2 linked regions of the Macaca fascicularis genome follow. Each later gene encodes a partner of the first gene's protein in a complex. Links are inferred from orthologs where the notes say so. Each region holds a gene or a part of one and is shown on either strand. Other genes may lie near its edges.

Region 1 (4,124 bases):
GAAATTTGGTACCGACTTACTTTATGAGCAATTTTGATGAAATGACATTGATAAATGACCTCAGTTCTCAGATTATTAATTATAAGAACTCAACTGAAGAAAAATAGAAATAAAATCTTAATCCAAACCAATGGAATGATTCATTGGACTGCACTTGATAACCACTGCTTTGTTTCCAACATTTTGTGCAGGTAGATTTAGTAAGCTTTTTAAAAAAGGCACGAAGGCCTTCATCTACAAAAATTAGGGTAGTTTAAGAAAGCTCTGTATCTAATGTTTCCCAGCTTTCAAGTAGATCAGATAGAACTGGAATCTTAATATGATGCAAACATGACAATTCCCAATTTCTTTACCCCTGCTGTGTTGCTTTTTTTCATAAACCAAACTGCCTCTACCTGCAGAACTGGATCAAATTTCTTAGTCACTAAACTCCACCACAAAACCACCTCAAAAGGGACCTGACTCCCACCAACCATGAAAGAACAAGATACACTACAAAGTGAAAAACAGATGCTTTTATTTATTGTATTGTAAACAACTTAATAAAATTTGCATCTCTACATATGGGAAACTGCTTTGAGTAACTGGGAAAACAGCTATTGCATGGGAAAACATATGCAAACTAGCATCACTGTCTCTAGACTAGGTTCTTCTTATTGATCTCATGTCATCATAAGGCAGCAACAGCAGCTTCTAGAAAATGGAGAAACAGCAAAGTCCTGCAGTGGAGCTATAATTAAGGTTGAACCATACATTCCACTAATCCTGCAACTTTCCTACTATCATTTTTCTGCCTATACAATCCTGCTTCTTATAGGATGAACACCTAGCAAAACAATGTAAATTTGCTGAAAAACAAAACTATAAACAAATGAAAGAACTTAACAGAACACACAGCATTAGAGGGACTAGGAAGTGCAAGGTGTTAATATCCAGTACAAGTAATAAAGCCAAGAATTTTCTAATGCTGATCAGTCTGAACACTGAAATTAAGAATCAGTTCTTTTTACTTCTCTAGGAGTGATTCTAGCTCTTCTTGCAAAGAGCTGAGTTGCTCCTTTTCTCGGTCTTCCTTTTGTTTGAGCTCATCCAGTACAGCCTGAAATCTGTTCTTGAGAGCCAGATTTTCCACTTTCATGATGAGATCCTCTTGTCGTTTTGCCCTGTCCTGGGTCTCTTGGAGCTTGCCTTTCATGTTGTCAATCTGCTTCTGAATTCCCATAACCAGCTGATTGGTTCCCTCATTTTCCTGGTGCTGTTCATCTGATTCATTTAGCTTGTCCTGTAGTTGTCTCTCCAGATCTTCCTCAGTGTCAATGATGTTTATATCTTCTTCATCTTGATGCTGGGTCTCATCTTCATCCTCACTGCTGCTGCTGAGGTCATTGAATATCTCCCGAAGCTCATCATGTTCTAATGAGTCATGGCCCTGCCTGTGACCAGACATTCCTGGAGAAGAGATATCCAGGCCTTGATTTTCTGCCTCCTTTGTTTCATCTTCAGCAATTATTTCCCACCGAGTACTAACAGCTTCAGCATCTGTACTCAGCAATCGTTTCACTTCTTTTTCCACATCTGGAGATTCAATATATTTCTTCTTTGCTGTCTTCCGGAACCTTCTCTTCCTGACATTCTTCAGAGGCAGAGTAATTCCGTGGTTCCAGATAAACTTTTTCTCTTTGTCCTTATCCTTTTTCTTGCTTGCTTTAGGATCAGTGCTAGCAACTGGCTCCTCCACAGGTGGATAGAGATCACCATCAACTGTGGATACAAGCATCTGACAGATATCAGCTGTCTTGTAAAAGGTTTTCTTATCAATGGTTTTCAAGCTTTCCATAACACAGGGCAGGTCTACCAATTTTGAGGCCAATGGAACACGGTCCACTCTGACGATTCCATGACGCCCATCAGGATGTAACTCAATTGTCAGTCTGTCCTTGAGGTTGACATGACCAGACTGTACTGCTCTTCTCACAGTAGAGGCATATTCTGGAGGCAGACGTAAGATAAACTGGCTCTCCAGTTCGTGAGGAGCATCATCTTTGCTTTTACTCATTTTTATTTCTTTGTGACTCACTTCTCCAATAAATGATGGTTACCGTAAAAAGTTCCAGCTACTGCAATAATTTAAAACACCAGTTCGCTATGAATTGAAATATTTTAATTACAAGAAGTTCTCTGTAGATCAGCAGCTTAGCGTCTATTTTGCCTTCGTTTTTATTTAAGCTCCAAGTCTTTTCTCTAAATATGCTGTGACCAAATACCAGTCGTTAACACAAAGGCTTATTCACAGACTTAAGTTCATTAAATCAGATGCAATGCCAAGTCCCAACCTCTAGGTGCCGCTGCCCGACAACGCGGAGACAGCTACCTAGCTAGGAAGCAGGAAAGCAAATGGCGGCTCCCGCGGAACGGTTTTCGGCCCAGAAAGGCCAGCAGAGATACTCTCAATTTACAAACTCTCCCGGAACAGACACTCAAAACATCAGGGCTCAGTGAGCTCTCTTCGCCTCGGGTACTTACAATCCAGTGACGATTATAAGTTCAGTTTCACCGGGCCGGAGCGAAGGGAAGAGGAGGCCGCAAGGAGCAAAGCGGGAGGCAGCCAAGCGTCTCCTTGTCGTTTCCTTAATTCTTCCTGCCGCTTGGCAGAGTGATCCACTATCGATTACTGATGAAAGCCCAGGATGGGCAACGCGAAATCTTGCCGAGAGGCGCAGCTCGGAGAACCAGACCCGGCACCTCGCCGGCCCTCCGTTCGACCGCTTGCCCAGAGAAAACGGAAGTGCTACGTCACGACGCGGGGCGGGAGGTGGATGTGAGTGACAGCCCCTCCGGCCGGAAGGGCGGAGCCCCGGCGCGCGCAGGCGCAATAGCGCAATTACGCTGCCCAGCGTGAAACTCGTCTTTTCGCGAGAACTTGCTTTTCTAGGATGAAAATGATAGTGTTTTCGAAGAGCTGTTGGTTTCAAACTATTTAGCGCTTGGAAGTTACAAGAAAGACACGGATTCGTCCCCCGCTAAGCCAGCACTTTTAAGGGATCGCTGTGGGGCCGGATGGCTTCTAGACTTCCGGGTGATTCCGGGAGATGGGGGACGCCTGGCAGTAAGCGTCTTTGCTTCTGGAAACATCTCGGATGCTTCCTAGGGTCTAGCCAATCTGGTGCCAATACAAGAATGTGTAGCTACTATACAATGGATTTTAAAGAACCCAAATCAGTGGAGTGAGGAGGACATGGAGCTCACTATATAATTCTAAACCTCTCTTTGTTTGTTTGTTTGTTTGTTTTGGAAATGGAGTCTAGGCTGTCACCCAGGCTTGAGTGTAGTGGCACAATATTGGCTCACTGCAATCTGCACCTCCAGGGTTCAAGCGATTCTCCTGCCTCAGCCTCTTGAGTAGCTGGGATTACAGGCACCTTCCACTACCCCAGCTAAGTTTGGTATTTTTAGTAGAGAAGGGGTTTCACCATGTTGGCCAGGCTGGTCTCCAACTCCTGACCTGAGGTGATTTGCCTGTCTTGGCCTCCCAAAGTACTGGGATTATAGGTGTGAGCCACCGTGCCTGGCCCAAAGTCTATATTTTGTTTAATATAATTCCCTGTAGGGGAATTGTGCCTCTGGGTTTCCTTCTGTTCTGTAATACTCCTGAGGAAACAAGGGTGATTCCTTTTTATATGCTTGATTTAGATGTAAATGTAAGCAGAGAAGGAAGTGTTCTTCTGCAAGCACAGGTTCATTTTGGACAGAATTGTCTGATAGACTGAGCATCTGGTTAAAGTAGACATAATTGAAGTATTGTTTCCTGCTTCTCATGTACAAGTAATTTTAAATACTTTGACTTTTTTTTTAACTCCACCTCTACTATTTTGCTGTTTTGTGCTTGTCTTTTCTTTGGAGGGTCAGGTATTCATCAACACATATTTTTAGTATTTTGACATAACTGGGTAACAGTTGGTACTTATTTCTATTTATTTCCATTTATTTTTAAAATATCTGGTAGAGCATCAAGGCCATTAACATTTAATTTCTATCCTCTAAAATATTACCAATTGCCCCTAAATTTAAGAGAATTCTCTTAAGATGTAATTAACATTTCCAAAATTCACTTTATTCCTGTATGA
Region 2 (3,970 bases), on another chromosome or scaffold:
CCGCGCCCAGCCGCTTTGTGTTTATTAACAAAGATAGGTTCAAGCCTCACATAACTACTTTTCACTCACCGAATGTTCAGCAGGACATTCAGAAATCGTGTGTATTGCGGGATTTTCTTTATGTAGCATCATCTGTTACACTGTAGGACACATATTTTATATCCCTAGCTCTGGCCTTCCAATGCCTGTGGTTTTCCCAACCATTGTTCCGACCAAAAGCCTTCCCCAATGGACACGGTGGCTCACACTTGTAATCCCAGCACTTTGGGAGGCCGAGGGGGGCAGATCGCTTGAGATCAAGAGTTCCAGACCAGCCTGGGTGATGTGGCGAAACCCCATATCTACTAAAAATACAAAAATTAGCCGAGCATAGGTGGTGTGTGCCTGTAATCCCAGCTACTTGGAGGCTGAGGTGGGAGGATGGCTTGAGCCCAGCAGGTCTAAGCTGCAGTGAACCCGGATTGTGCCACTTCACTCCAGCCTGGGGGACAGTGAGGCTGCGTCTCAAAAAAAAAAAAAAAAAACCAAAAATGAGGCCGGGCATGGTGGTGCACGCCTGTAATCCCAGCTACTCGGGAGGCTGAGGCAGAAGAATCGCTTGAACCCGATAGGCGGACGTTGCAGTGGGCCGGGATTTCGCCACCGCACACTCCAGCCTGGGCGACAGAGTGAGACTTGGTCTCAAAAAAAAAAAAAAAAAAAAAAAACACACACACACAAAAACAAACCTTCACAAAATTTTAAATGCTTAGTTTTGGGACACCATCTCTTGGAAATTTGTGGTGAAGCACAGTATCCCCAGTAATTAACATAGTGCTTAGAAACAGTGGAACCACAACTCTTTAAAATGATTTAAAAGCATTTATGTCAGATAAAGGACCGCTGGCTAGCCCTCCTACGATCCATAGCTTCGCAGTCCCCAAACAGGAAGGCGTGATTCAATGCGCAGTAGCAAATTTAGGGTGACAACGAGATACATCCCACGGAGCCCGTGATTTCCTTTTCTTTGTTAGTTTTCAATTCCTTCAGTGTTACAGGGAGGAGCTCCGGCCTCCTCCGCTAAAGACTGTCGCATTTCCGCCGCTAGGCCGGAAAGCACCACCGTCCTTCCGCAGGCCTCAGTCAGCTAGGCCCAGCTCCAGCCCCGCCCGTCACCGGAAGTGAGGCGACGGAAGTAGCGTAACCCGCTGAGAACCAGCCGGCGGGGCGCTGTGGGTTGGCGGGCTAGTGGGATGGCAGATGAGGAAGAAGACCCCACCGTGAGTGACCGTCTGTGTCCAGAACCTCTCTTTTCTTCACTCCTTCGGGCTCAGTAGCGGAGGCAGAGTTCAGGATCGGATCTGCTTGCCTTAGTCAATTCAGCCGACAGAATTCGGGGACTTCACTCCCTAAGGATTGATCATTTTAGAAAGTGGGGAAGGACATGAAGAAAGAGTAGGTTTTGTGACCCCTTTCCCCTTGATTTTGATCTTTATTTGCCAGACACTGAAACACTTACAGAATCATCAGACGTCAAAACTAACATCTATTAGCGCTCACTATGAACCAACAGTTCAATTGTTAACAAAACTGTACTTACTGTGAAGTAATGGGAAAAGAATGCATTGAAAGTCAGACAGCCTGGATTTCAAAATCTCCATTCTCTCTAAGCAAGTTATTTAACTTTGACAATCAGTTTTCTTGTTACAAAATAGGGTTACGGGCTTACTTAAGGAACGTTTTTAGCACCGTATATGCAAATGCTTAGTAAATATTAGTTTTGCTTAATTGAAAGTCTACAAAGGTAGACTTTGATTCAGTATCAACTGTTTAACAGTAGCAATAGGCCACCTTAGTTGTTTAAAAATAAAACCTATGGTCATTGTAACTCTTACACGTAGAAGCAGTAGGATTATTTGTTAGGAACATTGTAGAAGCCATTTTTGGATGAGTTGGAAATTGGACTCGATACCTAGGCTGCTTACGTGCTAAGGTTTTGTGTTTTTTTTTTTTTTTTTTTTTTTTTTTTCTGCTTCCTTTAGGCTTTCTGGCCTATCTGTTGAAAAGGAAAAAACATTGTTATTATTAAAATATCAAATGCAAGGCAATTATTTGACATTTCTATATATACGTTTTCTAGTTTGAGGAAGAAAATGAAGAAATTGGAGGAGGTGCAGAAGGTGGACAGGGTAAAAGAAAGAGGCTTTTTTCTAAAGAATGTAAGTAGTATTTGACAATGATTTTGTTATAGATGATGAAAACTTTTGGACATATCCTTTCCAAGTACATTTATTGCTTTGAATGTTTCCCTGTAGTGACAATATTCTCAGACTAGCCTATCAAATTCTGTTTAGCTTTTGAATCAGATAGTACCAATCCTAACCCCAGTTATATGTGTGTGTATGTGTGTCTGTGTATAAATTGCTTTTTAGGTGAGCAAATGTAGTTCGTGTTTTAATTTAGGGCAGAAGAACATACCTCCATTAGTTTTCCTCTTGCCTTTGCAGCAGTAGAAAGAGAGGCTTCTTTGACTGTAAGCCACAGATACTAATGGATCCTGCACCAGGTGTTGAGGGAGAGTAGCAAGTGAGTTGGGGCTTGGGCTTTGGACTAAGGCTATGAACAAAGTAAGAAGGTGGTGAACAGCTGGGTGTAGTGGCTCACGCCTGTAATCCGAGCACTTTGGGAGGCTGAGGCAGGTGGATCACTGGAGGTCAGGAGTTTGAGACCAGCCTGGCCAATGTGATGAAACCCCATCTCTACTAAAAATACAAAAATTAGCCAGACGTGCTCGCTTGAACTCAGGAGGGAGAAGTTGCAGTGAGCCAAGATTATGCCACTGCACTCCAGCCTGGGTAACACAGCAAGACTCTGTCTCAAAAAAAAAGAAGAAGGTGGTGAATAGTGTAAGACATTAGAGTGACATGGAGGCTAGATGCAGTGGCTCACGTCTGTAATCCCAGCACTTTGGGAGGTCAAGGCAAGCAGATCGCTTGAGCCCAGGAGGTCAAGACCAGTCTGGGCGACATAGTGAAACCCTCTCTCTACAAAAAATACAAAAATTAGTAGGGCATGGTGGCACGCCCCTGTAGTTCCAGCTACTCTGGAGGCTGAGGTGAGAGGATGGCTTGGGCCCAGGAGGTGGAGGTTGCAGTAAACCCAGATTGCGCCACTGCACTCCAGCCTTGGTGACGGAACCAGACCCTGTGTCCAAAATAAATAAATAAATAAGCAAAATAAATAATGACATGGAGATTATAATGTATTGATTCTGCATCCTACCCCCTCAGTAGATGCTTTTGACCCTTTTTGGCAACAAGAGGAAGGGAGAGCTGCTGCTACTACTGATGGTACAGGCCAAGCCCTGGAACACAGCATGAGAATGTGCTCTCCATCTCCAGTCCTGGGTCCTTTATGTAAAGTTATATCTAAGTATTGAGAGATGAGGCAACACAGATTTATGAATATGGTTTATTTAGGCGGGGTTATATGTGAGCAGTTCCCAAATGCCCTTGAAACTACAGGGTCAGTATATCTTTTTTTTTTTTTTGCAATTAACTGGGCATGGTGGCGTGTACCTATAGCCCCAGCTATTCAGGAGGCTGAGGTGGGAGGATCACTTGTGCCCAGGAGTTCAAGGTTGCAGTGAGCTGTGATCATGCCACTGTACTCTAGCCCCAGTGATAGAAGAGTGAGACCCTGTCTCGCCACCAGCCCCAGCTAATTTTTTGTATTTTTAGTAGAAACGGGTTTCCCCATGTCAGCCAGGGTGGTCTCAAACTCATGACCCAGATGATCTGCCTAACTCGGCCTCCCAAAGTGCTGGGATTACAGGCCTGAGCCACCATGACCAGCCATACCCAGCTAATTTTTGTATTTTCAGTAGAGACTAGTTACACCATGTTGGCCAGGCTGGTCTCAAACTCCTACCCTCAAGTGATCCTCCTGCCTCAGCCTCCCAAACTGCTGGGGTTACAGGCATGAGCCACCA

The links. Proteins that work in one complex are often made in the same cells at the same time.
Region 2: TAF7 (region 1) and transcription initiation factor TFIID subunit 13 share a complex: the UniProt entries of both Homo sapiens proteins name them as parts of the TFIID basal transcription factor complex. The link is inferred for Macaca fascicularis from reciprocal best matches to the Homo sapiens genes TAF7 and TAF13.

The regions. Positions count from the first base shown.
Region 1 is NC_088380.1:147,784,561-147,788,684, forward strand, and holds TAF7 (transcription initiation factor TFIID subunit 7), read right to left. Parts: upstream 2,788-4,124; 5' UTR 2,057-2,787; coding exon 1,007-2,056; 3' UTR 501-1,006; downstream 1-500. UniProt on the Homo sapiens protein: The TFIID basal transcription factor complex plays a major role in the initiation of RNA polymerase II (Pol II)-dependent transcription.
Region 2 is NC_088375.1:125,372,609-125,376,578, forward strand, and holds the start of transcription initiation factor TFIID subunit 13, read left to right. Parts: upstream 1-1,170; 5' UTR 1,171-1,232; coding exon 1,233-1,259; exon of another isoform or gene 1,260-1,433; coding exon of another isoform or gene 1,434-1,434; intron 1,435-2,021; exon of another isoform or gene 2,022-2,119; coding exon 2,120-2,198; intron 2,199-3,970. UniProt on the Homo sapiens protein: The TFIID basal transcription factor complex plays a major role in the initiation of RNA polymerase II (Pol II)-dependent transcription.